Linked DNA regions of Kluyveromyces lactis. The protein of the gene in region 1 interacts with the protein of each later gene in a pairwise test. Links are inferred from orthologs where the notes say so. Each region holds a gene or a part of one and is shown in the gene's direction. Other genes may lie near its edges.

The links.
Region 2: the proteins of BEM4 (region 1) and CDC42 interact in a two-hybrid assay, tested with the Saccharomyces cerevisiae proteins (7 studies listed by BioGRID, with this or other methods). The link is inferred for Kluyveromyces lactis from reciprocal best matches to the Saccharomyces cerevisiae genes BEM4 and CDC42.
Region 3: the proteins of BEM4 (region 1) and RHO2 interact in a two-hybrid assay, tested with the Saccharomyces cerevisiae proteins (2 studies listed by BioGRID). The link is inferred for Kluyveromyces lactis from reciprocal best matches to the Saccharomyces cerevisiae genes BEM4 and RHO2.
Region 4: the proteins of BEM4 (region 1) and CDC11 interact in a two-hybrid assay, tested with the Saccharomyces cerevisiae proteins (2 studies listed by BioGRID). The link is inferred for Kluyveromyces lactis from reciprocal best matches to the Saccharomyces cerevisiae genes BEM4 and CDC11.

What each region holds. Positions count from the first base shown.
Region 1 is NC_006039.1:869,617-873,207, reverse strand, and holds BEM4 (Bem4p), read left to right. Parts: upstream 1-1,234; coding exon 1,235-3,061; downstream 3,062-3,591. Other genes in the region: PFU1 (Pfu1p), read right to left, coding at 1-773; KLLA0_C10076g (uncharacterized protein), read left to right, coding at 3,290-3,591. UniProt on the Saccharomyces cerevisiae protein: Probably acts as a GEF (guanine nucleotide exchange factor) for the Rho family of small GTP-binding proteins (G proteins) that stimulates the dissociation of GDP to enable subsequent binding of GTP.
Region 2 is NC_006037.1:381,726-384,260, reverse strand, and holds CDC42 (Rho family GTPase CDC42), read left to right. Parts: upstream 1-1,442; coding exon 1,443-2,018; downstream 2,019-2,535. Other genes in the region: GCD6 (translation initiation factor eIF2B catalytic subunit epsilon), read left to right, coding at 1-986. UniProt on the Saccharomyces cerevisiae protein: Involved in development of cell polarity during the cell division cycle, and essential for bud emergence. Affects signaling in the pheromone-response pathway through the STE20 protein kinase.
Region 3 is NC_006039.1:1,182,099-1,184,503, forward strand, and holds RHO2 (Rho family GTPase RHO2), read left to right. Parts: upstream 1-1,313; coding exon 1,314-1,877; downstream 1,878-2,405. Other genes in the region: NST1 (Nst1p), read left to right, coding at 1-649.
Region 4 is NC_006038.1:1,258,227-1,261,552, reverse strand, and holds CDC11 (septin CDC11), read left to right. Parts: upstream 1-1,483; coding exon 1,484-2,746; downstream 2,747-3,326. Other genes in the region: TRP3 (bifunctional anthranilate synthase/indole-3-glycerol-phosphate synthase), read right to left, coding at 1-827. UniProt on the Saccharomyces cerevisiae protein: Septins are GTPases involved in cytokinesis that assemble early in the cell cycle as a patch at the incipient bud site and form a ring approximate 15 minutes before bud emergence, which transforms into an hour-glass shaped collar of cortical filaments that spans both sides of the mother-bud neck.

The sequences.
Region 1 (3,591 bases):
ATCCCACCACTGAGCTTCAAATATTGTAAATTTGGGGGCCATTGGAAGTCTCTATATCCGTCACATTGAATGGAACTTCTTGGAAACGATAAATGTGTTAACTCATGGAAGTTTTTGATCGCCAAGAATAATTCTTTTAAATTGACTGTTTCTGATACCAATCCTAAATCAAGGTATTTAAGGTTTTGGCAGGATTTAAGACTGATCAAAGGAGCTATTCCAAAACTAGTCTGTGGCGCTGTAAATGAAACCAAATTTTTAGAGCAACGTCGTAGCACTTTTGACACATAGCTATTCTTCCCACTCTGTATAATAGGAGATAAATCCAAATGAACTACGTGCTCACATGTTTTTCTCTTCCTATCTGCCAATACCGTTTCCACAAACTTTAAAAAGTTTCGACTAGTTAACTTTGGTGTACGATATAATTTTGGTATGCATATAAGATACCATGCTCGACACACTAGCACTAAGTTCATCCTGATATCTTGCGGACTCATCATAGAAATCGTAAGGTCAAATATTTCTAGTGGAAGCTTCATACCACCGTAATCAGTTACATCTGATCGGACAGAATCTCCCTGTAGTCGTGATTCCTCGCTATCAGAAGGATTACGTATTTCGTTTATTTGTAATTCATTAAACTTTTGGATATTCGTTGTGTCATTTTCTTCAGCTATTTGACTGAACCCTTGAGTGTGTGTGAATCCAACACCGCCAACATATTTTCTATAAGGAGGCTTTACTTTCTTTGGCCTTCTTTTATTAGCCATAGTTTCTTGAAGCCGTCGGATATGTTCTCATAGATGGACTATGTGAAATATATTACTTACCTTATTAGTTTCTTAGCAATTAGTCGATGCTTTTACTAATGCTCAACTTTTGCGATTTTTCACTATTTAAAAGTGTTTGCAGCTACCGAAAGTATTATTATGTGTATGAAATAATAGGTCATCTGACCTATTACAGAAGGTCACTTACCGAGTCCTGTTAACTCATGCCATAATCAAGATAATATTCGAGAGAATTCTAGTCATGGGTTGTCAAACCAGTATTATTTTATGACCTTACCTTTCTTGTTTACCTATGTGTGTTGTTGACATTTATGAGTAGAATCTTAAAAAGTCAGCAATTGTATGTTTAAAGATCGATCATTGAAAGTGCGGTCTTGGCGAGACTGTCCACTTTATAAAAATGATAACCACGATTAAAGCCCATAGTCCATTGTCCAAAAATGGAATATGAGCAGATACTATTTGGTTTGCAACCATTGCTCAATGCAGCTAATCCAAAGGATGTTCCTGTCCAGGACGTCTTTTTACAAAGTTATATTACAGTTCTTGAACAATTAGCGGTGCATCTACGTGCTGAATCAAACAGAGACCTTATTAGAGAAACTGGTCTATTAAGTCAATTGTTGAGGGTACTAAATTCCTTTTTGGATTATGCATTCCAAGAATCAAGTAAACGGATACAATTTCTTCAAATCTCTTCAGAATTAGTAAGATCCATTGCAAATTGCCTGGTTGATAATGATGCTAATAGGGAGGTATTTTGGAATGGCGACTGTACCAAACATAACGAATTTATCGACTACTACGCTGGCAGGATACTTGGTCTATTTGACGAGGAAGACTACGTTGTTAAATTGCAATTGAGGACAGTTGTTTTAATTTCTAACTTGGCCATGGATAACGATACCTATTATGAAAGAGCAGCAAGAAGAGTAGCTGTCCCACTTTTCAAATTGATTATTTCTATGAAAAATGTATTTCTAGACGAACAGTACAACCTACTTGTCGGAACTTCTTTTGACCTCTTATGCTCCTTTGTAGATCATAAGAAGTTTTTATCTTTGGTTCAGCTCGTTTCCCTTTCTGAAGTTTTAATTCAAGTCTGTAAATGCATTGAAAGCACTTCCAATATAGCAGTTTGCAATTCTGGAGAAATTGATACTTCGAAAAATGATGCGCAAATTGAAGAAGTTGAAGATGAAGAGGAAGATACATTTTTACCCAGCTTGGTCAATAATATCTCACATTGTATATTGAAGACTTCTGAACCTGAGGATTACAATTTTTCCGATGAGGTCAACACTTCTATCCTCCAACACAATCTATTAACATCACTCGAAAATCTAGGCTCAAAAGAATTTGATAACCAGTTGATCATTAATAGGGAGATACTCTCTTCTATTGCTAACGTTTCTAGTAATAAATCCTACTCCAATGGGAAAGATGTCGATATTTCCATCAAATTGCTACAATGTCATAAGTCATCATACGCCGCTGCATCAGCGTTGATAGTCATTTCCAATTACGTCTCTGATGCTCAGAAGGCAAATGAGATCAATAAAAAACTATCTTACGACATTATTGTCAAATCAAGTACAACAATTCGAGACCCCATACAATTCCAAGGTTTGTTATCTTTGTTGAGAAAGTTACTTAAACCAGATATTATAATGTTCACTCCAAACGAGACATTGGCGCAGTTAAGTCAGCTACTAGTTATCTGCCATGATCAATCAAATTACTATCAAGGTCTCTCTCCAATATTAGAAATGTTGTTACAAAAATTATTGGCCGTGTCAACTGCAAAGACCCTGACAACTATGATAGCTGCTGTACCAAGATTTACTGAAGTGCTATCTAATAGAGGAATAATATTATCTTGTCAGGCCATTGACAAATTAGCTAAAAAGCGTGATCTTGAAAGCCCGTTGTCGGTTGATCTGCTGGCCAAGAAAGTATTTGAATATTGTAAAAACATAACTCTAGACAACTTGTTGCAAGATCCATTCACCACATTTCATATATTAAGGTCTACGGGCATATATATAAATGAAACCCCAACAGACGAACAAGATGAAGTGTTTGACAAGTACTCAGATGTAATTTTTAAGCTTCTTGAAGCATCTTTGTCAACCAAAAGCTCAACGGAAACAGCTGCAAAAGCAATCTGGAATAATGGTAGGTATCTTGCTGGCATGGTCATAGCCTCTAAATGCTCTACAATCCCTAAAGAAGTCAAAGATATAGCTCATCAATGTTTCCAATAAGTTTAAGGTACCGCATATGTGTATAATAAATACCATGTTTATAGGTAATTATTAAGTTACCCGGGCAAAACATTTTATGTCTTAGCGCATGGCAACCTTAAAATTTACCTGCTGGATTTGAAGCCTTTCACAAGAGACAGACTTTGATTAAGAATTGAAGAGTTCTATAAAAACCATTGGGTAGGAGCTGAGGCAACACAAGCCTTCACTAAGGGAACTTGTTTCGTTATGCAAAATGACAACGAATGTAAGCTATTAGGTCCAGTTTCTATTGCCATACAACTGCTGATGGCCTTTCTGATAATATGTTCGTTATTATTGAAAAGACAATCAGAGCATCCCAAGAGAACGTGGGTAGTTTGGTGCTACGATGTTGGAAAACAAATCCTTGGTGCTTTGAGCATACATTTCTTGAATGTACTGATTAGTGTGCTTAAAGGAAGTAATTCCCTTGAGGATGCTATTATTTTCATTTTTAGGGCCGGATTGAAATTAATGACTAAGGATGGTGGATCTGACTCTGGGGACGA
Region 2 (2,535 bases), on another chromosome or scaffold:
GTTCCATTATCGGATTCAATGTAGTGATTGACGATAATGTTACAATCCCAGTTGGAACCAAGATTTCAGCGGTTCCAGTACAGAGGAACACAGCTCAATTCTTAGATACAGCACATAATCTTTCTTCCAGCGATGAGGACGAAGAAGGAAGCACATTCACCAGAAATTCATCTTCTTTATCAATCAGTAATTCCGATGAAGTTGCCGATGCGAAGATTAAACTATCTAAGCAGTTGGTTGGGCCAAACGGGAGAGGCGTACTATACGAAAGTGATGATGAGGATGAAGATGAAGATGGATCGACCGAAAAGGGTATTGCGAACACATTAACGTACAGAGACGATGACATTTATTTATCGGATACTTCCATATCATCCATCACTCAAAAACATAGAAAGAGGAGAACCATGTCGATGACTAGTATCTATACTGATTACGAAGGAGAAGAAGACGAAGAAGAAGATTTCGAAAAAGAAGCCATCGCAACAGTTGAAAGAGCTATAGAGAACAACCACGATTTAGACACATCAATGCTTGAACTAAACACTTTGAGAATGAGTATGAACGTCACTTATCATGAAGTCAGGAATGCTTCTGTTATCGCTATATTCAGAAGAGTTTACCACTTTGTAGCCACACAAACACTAGGTCCAAAGGACGCTGTCACTAAAGTCTTACAACAATGGGGTCCTGTGTTTAAGAGACAAGCATTTGATAGTGATGAGTTCATTGATCTAATGAATATCATTCTGGATCGTGTGCTAGATCAGAAATTCGATAAACCAGATTTCATTCTATTCCATGTATATAATGTCTTGTATGATTTGGATATCTTAGAGGAAGATGTCATTTACAAATGGTGGGACTCTGTAAGCGGTGATTCAAAATACAGCGAAGTTACTGCTCTACTGGCCAAATGGGTGGACTGGCTAAAGACTGCAGATGAAGAATCATCTGATGAAGAAGACAGTGACGAAGACGAATAAGTCAATAACGTCATAAATGCCCTTTGAATTTTCATGGTTCCTCCGAAGTTCAAGATTGGTCAATATCAATCAATATAATGTAGCATGTAGCATTTCGAGTAAACGTGAGATAACCATATGCAAAGTAATCTATAGACAAATATACGTACGCATTTCAAGGCTAGTGTCCTCACTACCGGACTGCCAACCGCCTATGCGGTCTTCCTGTATTCTATATGGGAGAGTTTGACTGAAAATAATTCAAGTCACGTTACAACGTTACCCTAACTTCCTTATCTATTAACATATTCCCATTTCAAAATTGAAATAACAGAACAGGAGGACGAAGATATGTATGTGATGAAGGAGAGTAGTCAGACAAATTGGATGTTAGACATAGCACAGTCAGCCGGAAGTAACACCGTAAAGGCCTGCAGTGATAGTAGTATAAAAGCAAGGAAGAAAGGAATTTAAAACATGCAAACTCTTAAGTGTGTTGTTATAGGTGATGGTGCTGTCGGTAAGACGTGTCTTCTAATTTCATACACAACTAACCAGTTTCCAGCCGACTACGTTCCAACCGTTTTCGACAATTATGCTGTTACGGTGATGATTGGCGATGAGCCATACACGCTAGGTCTTTTCGATACAGCTGGTCAAGAAGATTATGATAGATTAAGACCGTTATCATACCCATCAACAGACGTGTTCTTGGTTTGTTTCAGTGTTATATCTCCTCCTTCTTTTGAGAACGTAAAAGAAAAATGGTTCCCAGAAGTACATCATCATTGTCCTGGTGTTCCATGTTTGATTGTGGGTACTCAGATAGATTTAAGAGATGATAAAGTGATTATTGAAAAACTACAGAGACAAAGGCTTCGTCCTATCACTCCAGAGCAAGGTGAAAGGTTAGCCAGAGAGCTTAGAGCCGTAAAATATGTTGAATGTTCGGCTCTTACCCAGCGTGGTTTGAAAAACGTTTTCGACGAAGCTATTGTTGCTGCTCTGGAACCTCCAGTCATTAAAAAGAGTAAAAAATGTATTATATTGTGAAAAGTGATCGGCCTTGTATTTTTTTTTTTTATTACCAGTACATGTATCAGGTAAGAAGTTTCTCACTCAAGGATGAGCGTTCTTAACAATCTTCCCGTTCACCATCAAGTCCAGTTTTATATTTATAGATGATTGTGAGATAGAGAGTGTGTTTCCAAGTTTTTGCAGGTTCAAAAGAGAAAAAAAGCTCTACCCCCCATCTCCAGAAAAAGCGTTACATTTCACTAAACCAACATCCTAAAACTACCAAAACTACTTCATAACTCTTTGACATTTCTATAGACAAACTGAAGTACCAAACGTTTGGTTCTTTGTTTGAATTCTAAACCGTCTAAAATACGAAACTGGTTCGAAGCGAAAAACTAAACACTATGGAGTATCGCTTTGTTTAAGTATAAAACCTCAACGAAATTACTCTTCGTGTGTGGATTTCATTATCTCATGATATATTTAACCTCTCAGGCTTCTAATTGACTTTTAGCTCAATAGTTTATATAAATATAAAAACATTTTCCAT
Region 3 (2,405 bases), about 310 kb from region 1:
TGAAAATACCTTTGGTGTTGCCTCTGCTAACAATTTTGCTTCGAATATCTGGGATACACCTACATCTACTCCAGCACTTCCGAACACCCTGCTATCTTCCCAAGTTGCAGCAACATCTGTTGACTCATATGAGGAAGTCCTAGCCAAGACCTATAAGATGCTTTCTCCAGACAATAGTTTCGTTCCCTTGGACAAGCTATATCAAACATCATTGACTCAAATTAATGCCAAATCAGTACTGTCGTATCCCCAATTCATTTCCACTTTGGTTTCCATGAAGAATTCATACAATACTGAACTTTTGAATGATAACACGGGTTTATTGGCGTACTGCAGAATGGGTTCTGTTCCAGTACCATCAGGATTGCCTTCTTATAATAGACAAAATACTTTCCCTCATGCAACCACTCAAGTTCAGTCAGATTCGCAGCAAATAAACTCAGTTTCAACTCCTATATCGAACCCGCTACCTCAACCATCATCGGTATTTAACGATGTTCATTACAACCAAACAGCTACTACTTCACCAGCGAATCACGGGAATCCAATTCCAGGCCCAACGTCAACAATCGCATCAGATCCTTCGAACTTCGTGAACTTTGGTCAATCGTATCCAAACTCATATCAAACCGGCAATATCTGGAGCTGAATCATCCGATCCAACTAAATTATTTAAACGAGTGGATAGAAAAGAGAACATATCCGTTAAAATTTATTCCTTCTTCGTTTTACGTAGAACTGTAACGTCCAATATAAATGTAACAACACTATTATCTTTTTTTTTTCAATCAGACACCATCAATTGATAGATCATCATTGAATATTTGAACTCATTCAAAAACAGGGCTATAATTAATTTTAATAACTAAGCATAGTCCTATCTATTACACTGTCTCATTGATCACTTCTTCCTTTCTTTTTCGGGCTTCTACTGCTCGGCGGAACATGACAGACATTAATATGATATCATTTCGAAAAATAAAAGGCTCTTTGAAAAAGGCTAGAAAAAATGAAACTTGAAAGATAGAAAAATAGAAGGTTTGCTGTTTTAAAGAAATAAGAAACTGATTTCGAAGAATAAACATAGCGTACGCTCGAAGGAAACAAGGTCGAATCTTCCTTTATTTGCATGTATACGTGCCACCCTAATTTTCTATTTGCAATTGGGTACTTGAAAGTTTGAAGCAGTTCTCTGTTCTGGCACGATCTTACACTACGCTGTTTTCCAAACTTTGTCGGTTTTTGAATTTTAGCTATCAACATAATCAAGAAAGACGCAGTATCACTGCAAAACTTATGCAATATCATAAAATATGTCTACCAATCCAGTTAAAAGGAAACTAGTTATTATTGGTGACGGAGCATGTGGGAAAACATCTTTGTTATATGTTTTCACTTTGGGACAGTTTCCAGAAGAATATCATCCAACTGTCTTCGAGAATTATGTAACCGACTGTCGAGTGGACGGTATCAAAGTTCAACTAACACTATGGGACACAGCTGGCCAAGAGGAATATGAAAGACTAAGGCCCTTCTCGTATTCAAAGGCCGATATAATTCTCATTGGTTTTGCAATCGACGACCCGGAATCATTGGTGAATGCAAGAAATAAATGGTCAGAAGAAGTTCTCAGATATTGCCCTGAAGCTCCAGTAGTACTAGTTGGGTTGAAGAAAGACTTAAGATCACCGGATAATGAACATCAGATGGTAACACGGGAGCAAGCGGAGCAAGTTGCCAGGGCCATTGGTGCTAAAAAATATATGGAATGCAGTGCATTGACAGGAGAAAACGTTGATGATGTTTTCGAAGTAGCCACAAGGACAAGTCTCTTGGTAAATAAACAACCAGGTCACGGGTGCTGCGTAATATGTTGATACGAAAGAAGTGCTCATACATAAAAAATAAACTACAAACCAACACATACTATCTAATTCTTCTTTCTGCCGTATCTCGAGGCCGGACACTTTGTCTCGTTTGATCCAGCTAATTCAATGTTTCTAAATTGAAATCGACTCTAAATTAGCCCCCTCGCATAATAATTAATAAATTGGATCTCGTCAACGAATTTTTTGCTGCCTTCAGTATATATATGCAGTATTCTTCTTTGATTTATGTCACTTTTTAATATCAGCTGTAGATATGCCATCTAGTCTCTTTCAAAACGTTTTTTGGTCTTAGTGCGTTTTGTTACGCGTACTTTAATTCTAGAAAAATAAAAACAGGAAAAACATCTAAGGCTTTTGATGAGATCTAATGAACACTTCTATCTTGCGACAGAAGGAGTAGGGAACCAGGTCTTGTGTCTGTTTTATCAATACTGACTAGTACTCTCCTAAAATCTGATTAAATCATTAGCTGTCATTGGAGCTCAGGATTAGTGAAGAGAGCGTTTTTTCTGGTGT
Region 4 (3,326 bases), on another chromosome or scaffold:
GCCAAGACTGCTGTTTTCTCAGTAGCAGTTAATCTTGCATAGAAATCTTGTACCCTTGGAGCTAAACCTAACTTATAGTTGGCTTCTAAATCAGAGAACCGATAACCTGGGATCGTCGATTGCAGTTGAACGTCTTCACGGCGTTTTTCGTAAATAGTTTCCAAGATAGATTTCGCTTTATCAGTGCTGGCTGTCTTTCCGAGCTCATTCCTAGCCAAGTTAGCTGCGTTCTCATCCCAAGTACCTCCTGATACTTCAAGAATATTCTTGATCATTTGATGCCCACTCTCGGTCAAGATAGATTCTGGATGGAATTGCACACCTTCCACAGTGTATTTCTTATGTCTCACACCCATAATAATTCCAGTCTCCGTTCTTGCACTAACTTCAAGCACATCAGGAAGTGTTTCCTTGGCGCCAGCAAGCGAATGGTACCGCGTCACTGCGACACCTTGAGGTACTTTTCTAAAGAAACCTTTTCCATCATGGAATATTGGTGAAGTCTTACCATGAACAATTTCTCCAGCAAAGCTAACTTCACCGCCAAAGACATCAAACATACATTGCTGACCCATGCAGACACCAAACACAGGGACTTTGCCGCAGAAGAATGCGATACAGTCTCTTGATATCCCGGAATCGGTCTCTGGATGACCTGGACCCGGTGAAATCATGACAATATCAGGGTTCAATGCTTCAACTTCTTCCACAGTAATCTTATCATTTCTGAAAACTAAAACTTCAGCACCCTCAGTGCAAAGATATTCATAGATGTTCCAGGTGAACGAATCGTAGTTATCGATCAAAACAACTCTTTTAGCGGACATGATATCAAATTAATGCGAAAACCTAGTTCCTTTTTATCACAGTATAGTGTAGTTGCCCTACTAGATAATTATCAACCAAATATAACCAATCGATAAGAAATTATCGAAAGTTTCTTCTTACAATTATTTCAATGCCCTTTAAGGGTTCCTTTAAATATAAAATCGTCTTGAACATGAGATGATTAACTGGTTCCACATCACAATTCGAGATGAGTCAAGAGAAAGCTTTGATGAAATGAGAAATTGAATCGAATTTCGTCCTAAATGATAAATATGTATGTGATGTACGGATGTGTCAACATTCAAATCCACATTCTTAAGGCAATTGTGCATCGCTGGATTGATTATTCCGTAATCTGACTTCCAAGTAACAATCTATAACCTCTGTTCAATTAGCTGAGCCCCTCTATCATCCATCAAATGCTCTTTCACCGTCGAATACCTACTCTTTCTCTGTTTCCTCCATACTAAATTCCAGATTCCTCAGAGTAACGAATTTAGAATCAGATCGGAAACGTGAAACTTTAAACAAACAACTAACACGTAAACAACACAATTAACAGAAGAGCTGCTCAGAGGTCTTATTAGCACCTAATTTCTGTCGGGGTATTGAATTGGGAAACAAAAGCACTGCTACAATTGTAATTTAGACAGAAATGGCAAGTATTATTCAGGCATCTGCCGCTTTGCGTAAACGGAAGAACTTGAAGAGAGGAATTCAGTTCACGGTGATGGTTGTTGGTCAGTCTGGGTGCGGTAGGTCGACGTTCATTAACACTCTATGTGGACAGAAAGTGGTAGATACTTCTACCACGATTATGTTACCAACGGACACAAATACGCAGATTGATGTGCAATTGAGGGAAGAAATCGTTGAGTTAGAAGACGAAGAAGGTCTTAAGATCCAATTGAATATCATTGATACTCCGGGATTCGGCGACTCTTTGGATAATTCTCCATCGTTTGACATTATCTCTGATTACATTCGTCACCAGTACGATGAAATTTTGTTGGAAGAGAGCCGTGTAAGGAGAAATCCTCGGTTTAAAGATGGTAGGGTGCATTGTTGTTTATATTTGATCAATCCTACTGGACATGGATTGAAAGAGATTGACGTGGAATTCATCAGAAGACTAGGTACTCTAGTGAACGTGATCCCCGTTATCAGTAAAGCAGATTCCTTGACCGCTGAAGAGTTGAAATTGAACAAGAAATTGATCGCAAAGGATATCGACTATTATTCGCTACCTATCTACAACTTCCCATTCGATGAGGAAGACGCGTCAGACGAAGATTATCAAACAAACACATATCTCAGAGGTTTACTGCCCTTCTCTATCATCGGTTCCAACGATGTGTTTGAATCTGCAGACGGGTCCGTGATTCGTGGTAGAAAATATCCATGGGGAACCCTTGACGTCGAGGATGCTAACATCTCTGATTTCGTCGTCCTAAGGAACACTCTACTCATTTCACATTTACACGATATGAAGGAATTTACTCATGAGATCCTATACGAAAGATACAGAACTGAAGCCTTGTCCGGTGAGATGCCAACTGTAGGAACTACGACTCATAACAGAGCTTTCAGCACCACGAACAACGAATACCTAGGATCACCCGCTGTATCTGGTAGAGAATCTGTGAGGGGCAATGGATTACCATCTGCGTTGGGGAACAATGATTCGACTTCTTTACATTCTAACAACGCGTCATCGAACCAGGACACTTACTTGGCAAGAGAAGAACAAATCAAGCTAGAAGAAGAAAGATTAAGGGTTTTCGAAGAAAGAGTGCAACAAGAATTGCAATTGAAGAGACAGGAATTGCTGCAAAGAGAGCAAGAATTAAGAGAAATCGAAGAGAGGCTAGAAAAGGAAGCCCAATTGAAACAGGAAGGAATCAAATTGGAACAATAAGTTGTTGTCCCTTCCTGCACACTAAATAGAACTACATATTTCGTTTCTTTCTTTAACCTATACCTCAGTTATTACCATAAGATAGATAAAGCATTACGAACCATTTCAGGCTACTGGCTGCTAGTCGTGTGCTACACTTTATCGATGCCCTAACGATCAAGCAAAACCTCATTCATTTAAGAAAAAAATTCCCGAACGAAAACCATATAAAAGCCACTTACTTCGAGGCCGAAAATAAGACGAAAAAGACGGTAGAAGGATGGCTTCTGAGCACCAAATGGGTAGTACCAGGGGTACCAGGGATACCAGGTGTACCATGACCTAGTAAATCTCCTTTACATTATCTCACACAGCATGCCAGGAGGCGTGTGCCGTGTTCTGACAAGAAAACATCATGTATGAAGATGTGGGATGGAAAAGCTTTTAGATGATGAGTAACCAGATAGGGACAACAGATATTCGTTTAAGTGACGAGGAAAGTCTTTTAATTGCCCAGTTTTTAGTAGAGCTTGGGCGCACTCTGATTTTAGTTCCACAACTTATACATGATTTAGTGTCAGAAACGGATTAACAAAATTAT